Linked DNA regions of Macaca mulatta. The protein of the gene in region 2 purifies or fractionates together with the protein of the main gene of each other region. This does not show direct contact. Links are inferred from orthologs where the notes say so. Each region holds a gene or a part of one and is shown on either strand. Other genes may lie near its edges.

Region 1 (4,229 bases), on a different chromosome or scaffold from region 2:
AAAATACAAAAAATTAACTGGGAATGGTAGTGGGCGCCTGTAATCCCAGCTACTTGGGAGGCTGAGACAGGAGAGTTGCTTGAACCTGGGAGGCGGAGGTTGCAGTGAGCTGAGATTGCACCACTGCACTCCAGCCTGGGCAACAGAGTGAGACTTGTTTCAAAAAACAAAATAAAAAAACGACATGTTTCCAGAAAGCTCCTAAAAAATTAGTATCAAGAATTTACGATCGGGCAAGAAGCAGGAAGCAAGTGGCAAGTGGGGCTTTCAGTAACTTTATAATATAGTAGGTGGTGTTTGCCTTCTTTGGTTTCGGTAAGAACTTTTGGGCAATCATCCCATCTTTGACACTTGAAAACATTTTCCAGGAGTGATCTTGGTGTGATTAACTCAGTCTAAGGTCATTCATTCCTTAAGGCTGTCCAAGCATTTGTTTTGCAGATTTTTCTTCTGAGAAAAATTTAGGCAGTGTTAAGTATAATAATTCCAACTAATTTTTTTTTTGGTTTGTTTTTTTGAGATGGACTCTCGCCCTGTTGCCCAGGCTGGAGTGCAATGGCACCATCTTGGCTCACTGCAACCTCCGCCTCCCAGGTACAAGCGATTCTCCTGCCTCAGCCTCCCGAGCAGCTGGGCTTACAGGCGCCTGCCACCACCCCCGGCTAATTTCTGTCTTTTTAGTAGAGAAGGGGTTTCACCATGTTGGCCAGGCTGGTCTGGAACTACTGACCTTGTGATCCGCCCTCCTCAGCCTCCCAAAGTGCTGAGATTACAGGAGTGAGCCACCGCGCCCAGGCAATTCCAACTAATTTTTTTTTTTTTTTTTTTTTTTTGCTATATGGGGAAGGTTACTCAGTCATTCAACAAGCATTTGGGCACTTCCACATATACACCAAATACTGTGCTAAGCACCTGCTGCTCATCAATAGTTATTAAGACAGACTCAAGCCCTATCCTAGAAGATCTGATAGTCCAGTACGGGAGACAGACTACAAATACATAAATATAAAAATATAAACACTTTGCTTTAAGGGTTAGGAATGAAACCAACACTTTGTTGAGGCAGAGGATACAGTACCGGTAGGGGACCTAGTCAGGGTGATCAGGAACAACTTCCCTCGCAAGGTGACATTCGAGCGAAGAGTTACAGGATGAGAAAGGCGCCAGGCCTCGGAAATGGGGTCACGTTCATGTAAGTTGGTTAAAAATAAACCCCAATCTCTCCAGCAGCAACGTTGAACGTGTGGGGCCAAGAAGCCTCGCTGCCAGCACTAAAGATGGCGCGCCAGGGGAGGGGGCGGGGCACACGCGCGTTCTGATTGGTCAACCCGGGAGTGACGTCACGTGTCGGCCGCCGAGCATCCGGGCTCCTGGCGGCGGCGCTGCGGAGGCTCGCGGGAGACGCGGCGCGCAGGGCGAGCGGGTGGCCGAGCGGACAGCGGCGGGGCGCTCCCGGGGGGCCAGCGGGGCCGAGCGCCGCGCGTCCCGAGCATGGCGGGCTCCCTGCCTCCCTGCGTGGTGGACTGTGGCACCGGGTAAGAGCCGCTCGGCGCCCACCCCCGCTCCTCCGCGGCCCCGCTCCCGGCCCCCGGCGTCCACCTCACCTGGAGGTCGAGCTGTGTCCGTCGCCCCGGGCTTGAGCCCCGCGTCCACCTACCTGGGCAGGTGGGGCGCCGGCCGCCGCTTCCCTCCAAGCCTTGCCTTGACGTCGTAAAACCCCCTCTTCCCCGCCGGGAAGGGTCACAAGAGGAAAAGCACGGAGGGGAGGGACGCGGTGCCCACTCTGAGCGAGCCCGGCGCTCCTCGCCTCCCCCGCCCACGTGGCCGGGTCCCTGGACCCGCAGCCCGGCTCCGGCCGCCGCCGGGGTGGACACCCTGAGGGGCACCGGGAGCGCGGGATCTCCCCTCCTAGGAATATTCGCCAGCGTGAGGCACAGATCACTGCAGATCCTTTAACGTCACTCACCTCCTAGCGAACGGTGTCCCTGCCTTCCAGCGTTCGCAGCACTGACCCTCGTTCTGTGCCCGCGTGTGCATGTCATTCCTCCTGGCTGAGGATTCTTTACCACCTACTTGTGGAGAGAATTGCATCGATCTCCCAACTTGACACCCTTTTTACTGCCCTCCCTGCGCTTTTCCAGTATGAAATGGCACACTCAGGCCAAGCTCTCGCTTTGGTTTGCATAGATTTGCCTTTTCGCTGAAAGATGATGTGTTTAAAAAGACTCCATTTTGAAAAACACCCTAAATTTGGGAAAGCGTGTGTGTGGAATTGTGGTACAGGTTTTTGTTTTTAACTTTTTGAGTGTGACCCCTTCGATGCCGTTAAGCTATTAAAGAGATCGTAGGAAATGTCCCGAAATATCGGTGACCCAAGTTAGCTGGTTGTAGTAAGCTGTTTGCTGAATCCATGTAGCTGGTAGTTTGGGAATACAAGCTTGCCTGCTTGCGTTATGGATGTAGTGCTTAGTAAAATAGCGTGGAAGTAAATTTGGTCTCTTAGAGATTTTTTTCAAGAAGGGTTTTTAATCATTTTTGCCACAGAATGTTCCACGGCATGTTCACCTTACCCTTGATTCTTTTCTATAGAAAAATGCACTCGGTTTGGTTTCCTTGACAACCTTGTGGGGGTGCCGTCTTTAATTTGCTACAGTCCATCTCCTACTGGTAGTTCCTTCCTTTTTACTGCTGAAGCGACCAGAAGTGGTTGTGGACTGGAAAAATCTGCCTCTTTGCTTGTATGAGTTCTTTTTGAAATACACATCATATCAACCTTTGTAGCTGTTTATTTTAGAACTTGCTTTTCTACCTAAAACTTAACAAGACAAAGTCAGTGTTGTTGATACTACAACTCCTCTTAACTCATGCCCTCCTCCCCACCCCCCCCGCCCCGTGGGTTCATCTCATGTCCCCTCAGGTCTGATTGTGTCAAGAATGAAACCAGCAGATGAAATTATTTTTCATTTCCATATTTGCATGTGAGATTTTTGCTTTGTGTTTTTGGTCTTGCAGAACTATTGAAGTATAAAGGATTTCTTGATAGTAGCAATAAAATAATGCTCACAGAGTTGGCATACCTTTCATATTAGTAAGTCATGGACCTTACTCATCTCTCTTGCTATAAATACCCAAAATGTCATGCTCACTTTTGACCTTTTGAGGTAAGTGATTAATGTAGCTTGGCTCACTTGGAGATTCAGCTTCTATAGATCGCTATTTTGTGGCCCAAAGTCATGCTTCAGAAGTTGGTGTCAAGACTTAGAAACGGTGGCAGGGAGTCCCCGTGTGAATTCCCCATAGCCAGTGTATGGCCAGAAGGAGCCTGAAAGAGCCCGAATTTTCCAGCTTGAGCACATCTTGTATTTCCCAGAGAGCTAAAATGATTTTTGGCTTCAGTTTTGCCTCAAAATAGGAAAAAAAAAAGGTAAAATTCAGATAAAAATAACCAAGCCAAAGGAAAAGAAGGGACCTAGGAAGTCACCCTGAGCTTTAGCCCAGTGGCTGCTGAAGTTGGTCCGCACATTTGAGCTTAGTCTTCCTATCCAACAACATCATAAGAGTCATAGTTATGTAATTTCTGTCATCAGAAATCAAGAGAAATATCTGTTTCTTGGGTGAAAAAAGCCTTTTTTGTAGTACTAAATTGTAAAAACATTAATGTGGAGCTATACATAGTGGGCACTAATGATTTATTGGACAGTGTGATAAACAGTATTTTTTACAAATAAATTTCATCCCAGTATCCTTGAATCCTCCTCTGCTAAACTCTGAGACTGAGTGAGCACTGGTGTGCTGGGGGCCAGGATAATATGGACAAAGGGATCTGCCGAATCCAAAAATAAAGCTTCATCTATTTAAAGAGATGACTAGGCTGCATAGTTTTCAGAGAATATTTCACAACTCCAGTCTCACTTCTCTGAGCCAAACTTTTTAAATGAAGTCTTTTGCATTTTTCAACTTACTTTGAAATAATTTCAAATCTACTGAAAGCTGGAAGAGAACAAAAAACTACTGTGTACTCTTCTTCCAGTTTTACCAACTGTTAACATTTGCTTTGTCACAGTCTGTATGTCCATACATATTATTATTACTTTCCTGCACTGTTTGAGAGTAAGTTGCAGACACCACTTCCTTTTATACCAAAATACTTCAATGTCTACTTTCTGAGGACACATTTTCTCTTCTAGAATCACATACTAATCATCAAAATCAGAAAATTTAACATATGT
Region 2 (4,063 bases):
GGGAGGGCCTCCCTGAAATCACCTATCATTCATGAAGCCGGCTGTCACACTTGGCTGGCTTTAGACCTTTTCAGAGAATAGGCTGTGGTGCTGGGGGAACCCTGCCCAGCCCTTGATCTCTAGATCTTCCTCAATCACGGCACAACTGACACTGTGGACCCACGATTCTCTGACGTGGGATCTCAGCTGTGGGTCATAGGCCTCTGCCCACTGGATTCCAGTGGCATCCCCAAGCTGTAACTATCAAAATGTTTCTAATTTCCTGAGGTGGAGAGGAGGGGTGCAAAATCGCTCAAAACCACTGCTCTGGCCAGAGCCCTGATCCAGAAGTCTAGAAGCTGCTTCACTGAGGGGAAAGGAACTCATACTTTTAAATCGCCACAAGGTCTCGGATCCTGTGCCTGGTGCTTTCACATGCCATCTCATTCCAAAAATCCCAGTAACAACAATCATTATCTCATTTGAAAGGCAATGGAATTGAGGCTCAGAGAACGGAAATTACCTGCACAGGGTCACAAAACTAAGCTGTCTAGATGGCCCTGGCACCCAAGCTCCTCCCACAATCCCGTGCTGCCGCTCTAGCTGCAGACCTGAGCAGACACTTGCTGTGTGCCCCGTGATGCTGATGTTAGCCCATGAGGCTCCCACAGAACCTAGGAAGCCAGCACGGCTGTCTGCCACGTCACAGAGGAGAATGCTGAGTTGTGAAAGGGTATGTGACCTATCCGAGGTCAGAGCCAGAGCATGATGGCGCGCGGTGTGCGAAGATGCACAGCCGAGTTCCTTCTACCCCATCTGCGTGATCTCCCGCCACACACACTTCCCTATATAGCCCCAGGACAGGGTTCCTCTCTGCCCTCCCCAACCCCAATCCCTCTATCCCTCTCCCTGCTCCCCTGTCCTCAATGGTCTAAGTCCAATTCTTGGCACATGATAGAGACCCAATAAATATCAGTTCCATTCTCCTCCCTACCTGGGTCCGGTATTTGCCAGGGTTTCAGTTCTCTTTATCCGCTAACCTCCCTTTCCCCAACCCCAGGTGGAACACTCTCCATGGTAACAAGGTTTCTGCCGCTGCCATGAATGGAGAAACGACCATCCCCGGGATGTGCTAAACCCAGGCCTCTAAGCAGCCTCAAGGAACCTGTCACCAGGCAGGGGAATCCCAAGACATGACCTTCAACAAGGCTCTGCACCCAGACCAAGGCAGCAGCTGACAGGCCTGACCTCCTCATCTGTTCAATGAGGGTCCTGGGCCAAAGGCCTGACCTTGGAGCCCCCTTCAGCACTGACTCTCCATAAGCCAGGCCCTGCACCTGACTACAACCAACCTTCCCTCCTGGGGACCCTTCCCTTGACCCCATTTCATAACTAGGGTGGACTGGGAGATCCTGATGGGGCAGGAATGACAAGCTTGAATCTCCACTTCCGAAAACACATTCCTGTTCAAACCAAGTCTGAAGGTTTTCGTTTTAAAGGCACACTGAGGAGCACTGCCGGGCTCCCCCTAAAGCAGCAGGCCCCACTTTCCAAGCTGAGTCAACTGGTTCAACACCGAGAACCTGATTTATGTACAGCATGGGCCTCCAACCCTGCCCCCGCCCGTGCGGGGGGAGGGGACAGGCTTCCTGGAACACCATTTGAATAAAGAAAAATCCTTCCGGTGAGAATAAGTCAGTTTCCTGCGCTCATACTGCTAAAGGACCAAGCAAGGCTGTGACAATCACCTCTATTTTTAATCTTTTCTAAATGCTGTTTTCTGTGGCCACAAGAACAGTCATTTCCAGGCGTGGGGCTCTACTTTCACACTTCACTTCAAGGTGTCTGGTTTTTCTTAGCTCTGAACTACTAGTTCTTTCCGCTGCTTCCTGCACCAGAAGGGTACTGGGGGGAGCCAAGACTCACTTGCTGAGCGTAGCTGAGACCACCAAGGTGACCAGAGGAACCACAGGGTTTCCCTTTCTCAGCATTAAGCGGGAGGGTTAGACTGACTGGGGGAGGGGAGGCACAACCTTAGACCCCAGGGCTGAAATAGGGCGGCCGCCTCCACTCCCTCCTGGGTCCTGTCTTCCCCACAGCGGTCCACCCACCTATCTTCACGCCCTGCGGCAATCTGGCCCCGGAAGACCGCGCCCCAGCCTCACCGATCACTCGGTTACTCAGATACGGCTCACCTCCGCCCTGCCGCCGACCCAGCCCCGCCATAGGCCCGATTTCCTGCAAGGGAGGGACGGAGTGCTGGGGCCCCCAGAAAGGGACAGCGTGAGGGGACGAGGAGGCAAGAGGGGAAGAGAGCCCGGGGCGCGGGACCTGCGGGGCTACCGAGGGAGCCCGTCCACCGGGTCCAAGGGCCTGCGGGGCTGCGCTGCACAAGAAGGGGCCAGGGCTGGGGAGGAAGGACCCAGGGAGACCAGGACTCAGGGGAGCACGGCCCAGGGGAGTCAGGTCGGCAGGGAGTTGAAGGCTGACCTGAGGGGGCCGGGGGTCGGAGACAGCAGAGGCCCGCCCGAAGGGGCCCGAGAAGGTGGGAAGGCCGCGCGCAGGCCCGGACGCCGCGTCAGGAAAGGATATTGCCGCAGGAGCCCGTCCACCTCGCTCGGGTCCGGGCCTGGCTCCGCCGCCGCCGCCGCCGCCTCCTCCTGCTCGTCCACAAATTTGTTCTCATCAAATTCGTCGATGTCCACCCGGCGGAAGCGCGAGGACAGCGTGTTCCGGGCCATGGCGGGAGCTCGGCGCCCGCTCAGCCGGCTCCACTCGCGGCCCGACCTCAGCTCTGCTCCACTCGCACCGGCTCCGGCTCGGGGGCGGGAAGCGGCCACCGGGCTGCTCCCAGCACCTCCTCCACCGCCTCCGCGCGCAGCCGCCGCCGCCCGCCCACTTCCGGCACACGCCGGATCCGGAAGCGTCATCGGGGCGGGGCGGAACCTGTCCCGTGGAGTGCGCTATGGGGTTTCCGCGGCCTCTCCGACCTCAGTCTCTCTTCCGCGGAGCCTCTGTCTTACCACTGAGGAGTGGCCGCCCGGTATCCTTGCAGGCCCCGCATAGTGTGTGCCGTAATCGCGCTGGTGATCCGGCTTTCCCGCGCCTCCGAAGAACCCCTGGCCTCAGCGGGGCCCGGCGCGGGCTTCCGGGGTGATCCTTGCCTGTACGGGGGAAGACTGGGCGCCCGGGAGAAGGCTCGGGGCTCTACTTCTCGGGTGCTGGGCAGGCTTCTTGGAGAAGAAACCTTCGAGCTGATGACTGAGGGATGAGTAGGAGTTCCTGTGCCCGGGGAGTGACGCGGGAGGGGTCTGTGTCTTGGAATCTTGAACGCCGCCACACTTAGCACGAGGAGGTCTCCTTTACACAGAGGTGACCCTGTTAAAGGAGTGGGAGGCTTTAAAGACGTTTAGTGCGATCAGAGGGCTGACAAGGCGTTGAAGACATTGTGACTCGAGGGATTTTGCGGCCCCACGTGTGTAGCAGTCACCTTGACCAGGCAGTTGGGGCCCCAGGAGAGGGAGATGGCCCTGTGGCCACCGTCCTGGCAGGAGAGGCCTGGCTTGAGAGGCACATCTTGATAGAAACCAAATTCTCAGAATCTGAGATGCGGGAAAGCGGGTTAGGGAAGTCAAGGACGACTCTGAGGTGTCAGATTTGGTGCCTGGGCTGTTACCCCAGGGGTTCTGTTAATTGATCTTAGCCTTAGGGTAAGTAAAATGGGTCTTTTATATAATACTATGAAAACTGTTTTCATCTAATAGTACCCTTGTTAATAAAAGTTGGAATGTGATTCATTTTTACTGCTTCGAATACTTCTCATTGAACTGTGTCTAAAGATCAAAAAACTATTGCCAGACTATGATGCAACCTAATCTTCCGTGGTAACCAGGATACAGACTCCCATAGTGGGAAACTGGCGCTAAAGAAAAGTCTCCGCCTGTAATCCCAGCACTGCGGGAGCCGAGGCGAGCGGATCACCTGAGGTCAGAAGTTTAAGATCAACCTGAGCAAAATGCTGAAACCCCGTCTCTACTAAAAATACAAAATTAGCCGGGTGTGGTGGCGCAGGCCTGTAATCCCA
Region 3 (4,254 bases), on a different chromosome or scaffold from region 2:
CCACTTTTTTCCAGCCACCTTTTCCCTAATTTATATAACGAATGAAATGAGCAACCTGATTCAGGTTACAACTTTTTACTTAAGCTAAGTGGGTAATTGTAATTTAGAGACCTAAGAACTGAATGCATTCTCTAAAGCATAAAGAAATAGACAAATTATAGGTGCACAATTTGCATTCGGGGCCCACAGAATTTTGAAATGTAAAAGCTCCCTGTTAAGGCCATACTTAGAGATGCTTATCTCAGGGTCCTCGACCTCAAGGACTTATCCTCCATGTGCTAATAAAGCTGAAAGTGTAACTTCCCAGGAGGCACCACTGGCAACTTGCAAGACCAAAAAGCCTTTTGAGGACCAAAATAACTGAAACTCTAAAGGGGGAATTTCAGATTGTGACAAATGGTAAAGAGAGGGAGGTGGCAAGGGGACTCCTAATCAGTTCCATTCAAATCATCAAAGTGCAGTTAACAACCTCTCCTTATCAGAGAAACCAGTGTAATAACTTAAAAATATACTATTGTAATAATTGTAATTTTAAAACAGAAATACTCTAGGTTAAATTGAACCCCTCTCCCCGATCCTACTGGTCATTCAGCATGTTTTAAATTCAAGGTTGCCCTTTAGGAAAGGAGGTCACTTAAGGACAGATGACCTCAATGAGACATCCTGTATACTAATTCGAAACTATTTCAAAGAGGGAAAAATGGAGATTAGAAAAGTAACATACTACTTGAGATGTTACCATATTATTTCTTAGGGCCACAGTTATTTACACTATTTTTTTTGACAACTCAGTAATTTCTAAAGCATTAATTATGTAGCAATATTCGTCACTTTAACAAAACACATTTAAAAAGTTCTATCCTACTGACTCAGGCCAAATCTAATTTTAAAACTGAACTTAGACATAAAACTACTCATCAATTAGACTAAGAAGGGGGAAATAAAAAAAACTATTGGTTCCGAGAAATGAGAACCAATTAAGAAAAAACTTTATAATAAAGTGTTCATGAAAAACTTTATAATAAAGTGTTCATCAATAAAATACATGGAAGTTCCAAGGCTAATCTAGGCTAGTGCTTTCCTAGGGAGAATATTAAGAAGTTGGTTGTTTCTCTCTACCTAATTGGGATTTTAGAAACTGCCACACTAGCTAGTTATGAGAATGAAGATTAAAGAAATTTCACGTAAAGAGTGAAGGACACACAATCTTTTAAGTAACAATAATGAAATTAATAATTATAATTAATAAAAAAACAAGCCTCTCACTGCCTTCCCCCTCAAAAAAAAAAAAAAAAATTGGGAGTGTTTTGGGAATTGGAGAGATGTAATCAGAACAGAAAAAAAAAAAACCCTTCCTATAAGTCATCGTGAAGCAGTGATTCTACATTAAAATAAGAGTAGTCTATTCTCTATGTAGTTATGAGTGTGGTACAACTCTCTAAAATGTCTATTAATACAAAATGAAAGATCACTTTTAAGCCATTCTACATTTTAGCAAACTACCCTACAGATCTAGGAGTAACTACTTGCAACTTAAACACATTCCTATATACCTCTATACCTTTCTGCTTCCTTCAAGATACCTTTACAGAATGAACGAATACAACTTAAATTAGTTTATTTCCCAGGGTGCTTCCTTTCTCCCCTCTCCATGAAACATAAGCACATTTTTTAAGTCATATAAATGGATACCAAGCACCTGTAATTCAGTCTCTTTAAAATCTGCTTAATTTTAAAAGTTCTAATAAGATGTGTTCAGGTTGGAAACTAAAAACTACCTTATAAGGGTATAAAAGACTGAAAGCAGGAAGCGGCTTTGACAAAACTAAGGAAGTTACAGCGCGCTTGCTCACTGGGGGACTTTTTTGAGGCTACAGAAGTAACACATGACATCTTTCTCCCTCGAATTAAAATGTGACTCGGTTCACCGGTTGAAACGCAGAGGGAGATGGCAATGACCGGGAGTCGAAAGGAGAAGGTGGGTGGTCAAATGAAAACCCCACTGTAGGTTCCCATTTTCAGAGTCCGATTCTTCCCTTTCCCCACCCACACCCTGGGCAGAATGTTGTCACAGCGATCTTGCAAAACCTACCAGGAGCGCTTCTCTTTTCTAGCTCCTCTACCAGGCCAGTCCCCGAGCTCGGCCCCTGGGTCCCCACACCGACTGGCAAAAAGGGACACGGAGGGAAAGCAAAGCCGGATGGGTCGGGCCCGGGGACCACCCCTAAGACGACCGTCCCTAGCACTCTCTGGGCGGCACTGCCCACCGCCGTGGGGGAAGGGCCGGGAGGGGTCGCGCGGAGGAAGCTGCAGGGAGGGTTGGGGGTTGAATCTGGGGCCCGCGCCCCCGCCCCAGTCCTAGGAGGGAGAAACGAGGGGACCGGCGAGGCCCTGGCTCCGGGCCCCACCCCTCGCTGGCCGGCGAGTCTAGGACTGACAGCCGGCGGCAGCACCTCGCCGCACCATTCATTTCCCGGCCTCCTCCCTCCCCCGCCATTTTCCTTCCTCCGCCTCAGTTTCCCCACCCCCGCCCGTAAGCCCCCTTACCCCGTGCCACAGTCCACCACACAGGCCGGCAGCCGTCCCGCCATCTTCCTCCTCGCCTGCTGCTGCTGCTGCCGCCGTCTGCTCCGTGCTGCTAGGGGCCAGAGATTGGCGGCGGGAGACAGGCGCTATCTGACCATCCACAGCCGGGCCGCCTTCACCGTCCGGGGGGTAGCCGGGAAGCCGAAGCAGTAGCAAGAAAGCAGCAGGCTCGGTCAGCGGCTATCACTTCCGCAACCCAAGCAGGCAGGCAGTCCCCGCCCTGCCCCGCCGCGGCCTCCTCCCCCTCTCTCTTCCCTCCTCCCCACTCCTGCCCCCACCCTACAACTTCTTCCCCTCACGCCGCCTTTCCCCGGGAAGCCAAGATGGCCGCCGGTGCCGACGCCCCGGCCAGGCCAGGCCCAGGCCCCGAGCACTCCCCCTTCCGCTCCGAGCGGGAGGGGCTAGCGAGCATGCGCAATAAGGTGCGTTCGCCTGCCGGGGCTCCGATCCTGAAGTTAGTGAAATCCACAGCGGGTTTTCCAGGAGGGTAGAGACGGAGAAGTCTAGCCGAGCTTCTAGTTCTGCTTCTGAAGCTGGAAGGGGCTTTTCGGTGGTAGCCCTTGGGTTAGTTTCAGTTACTTCTCTGCTAGGTTGAGGAAAGAGTGGAAGCGCCTCCTGCAGCCACGAATATCCTCCAGTGCCTGGGAGAAAACGGCCTAATCGAAAACGTCCGCGGCATGCATCCATTCTTAAAACTTGAGTGGCTGCTTTTCTGGGTGGAAAAGAGCGATATCACACAGGGTGAGCAGTCGGGGAACGGATGAACAAAGGCTTGCACCGTGGCCCTGATGCCTTTGTTCCGAGTTTTATTCAGTTGTACTTGTGCGTTGTTACAGGACTTCAGAATGTAGCCCTGCCCTCCAACCCCCACCTCCCAAGGCCTGAGCTCCTGAGGAAGGCAAACCGCCCAGGAATATATTCTGCAAAACTACAAACAGCCTTTATTCAAGGCTTTTGGACTATGACAAAGATTACCCTCAGGAGTAGTAAGATTCTACTAGCGGGATAATAGAAGGGATTTAGCCCCCCCAAAAAAAATTTTTTTTAAGTTAAAGACGGAGGCGGGCCGCAGTGGGTCAGGCCTGTAATTTCAATGCTTTGGAAGGCCGAGGTGGGAGGAGAGGATAGCTTGAGGCTAGGAGTTCGAGATCAGTCTGGGCACATAGGGAGACCCCCCCACCACCACCACCATCCCTCCAAAAAAAGAAAAGAAAACTGGAAAGCCTTAAAGAAACCTTTCAAACTTTAGTGTGTGTCAGAATCACCCGAAAGGTTTGTTAAAACAGATTGCTGGGCCACACCCCCAGAATTCTCTGACTGGGCTGTCTGAAATAATGCCTGAAAATCTGCGTATCTAATCAGTTCCTAGTTCCACTTTAGGACCCTAGAAGGTTAATAGCTTTCCTCTCTACCAGGCTGATCTTAACAATAAACCATTCTGAGTTTGCTAATGTGAAGCTAAAATAAAAATATTCTTTAAAAGGAAGGATGTCTTATTCAGTCCGTGAGATCATCTAATGTGGTATTAAGCTGGCCTGGGGGATGGAATCGGGTGTTTCATTTATTCACTTGGCAGGTAAGTATTGCTTACCTACTCTGTTATGGCAGGGACTGTGCTGACTCTGAGTATTCGGTGGGACAAAATAGTTGAGGTCTCTTGTAGAGTTT

What was found. The genes of interacting proteins can lie anywhere in the genome.
Region 1: the proteins of ARPC5L (region 2) and ACTR3B purify together in Homo sapiens (affinity purification with mass spectrometry; 3 studies listed by BioGRID and IntAct, counting the BioPlex papers as one, with this or other methods). This does not show direct contact. The link is inferred for Macaca mulatta from reciprocal best matches to the Homo sapiens genes ARPC5L and ACTR3B.
Region 3: the proteins of ARPC5L (region 2) and ACTR3 purify together in Homo sapiens (affinity purification with mass spectrometry; 6 studies listed by BioGRID and IntAct, counting the BioPlex papers as one, with this or other methods). This does not show direct contact. The link is inferred for Macaca mulatta from reciprocal best matches to the Homo sapiens genes ARPC5L and ACTR3.

What each region holds. Positions count from the first base shown.
Region 1 is NC_133408.1:192,182,794-192,187,022, forward strand, and holds the start of ACTR3B (actin-related protein 3B), read left to right. Parts: upstream 1-1,429; 5' UTR 1,430-1,491; coding exon 1,492-1,535; exon of another isoform or gene 1,536-1,665; intron 1,666-4,229. UniProt on the Homo sapiens protein: Plays a role in the organization of the actin cytoskeleton.
Region 2 is NC_133420.1:22,905,290-22,909,352, forward strand, and holds the start of ARPC5L (actin-related protein 2/3 complex subunit 5-like protein), read right to left. Parts: upstream 2,807-4,063; 5' UTR 2,721-2,806; coding exon 2,571-2,720; intron 1-2,570. UniProt on the Homo sapiens protein: May function as component of the Arp2/3 complex which is involved in regulation of actin polymerization and together with an activating nucleation-promoting factor (NPF) mediates the formation of branched actin networks.
Region 3 is NC_133417.1:23,708,194-23,712,447, forward strand, and holds the start of ACTR3 (actin-related protein 3), read right to left. Parts: upstream 2,801-4,254; 5' UTR 2,592-2,800; coding exon 2,548-2,591; intron 1,979-2,547; exon of another isoform or gene 1,817-1,978; intron 1-1,816. UniProt on the Homo sapiens protein: ATP-binding component of the Arp2/3 complex, a multiprotein complex that mediates actin polymerization upon stimulation by nucleation-promoting factor (NPF).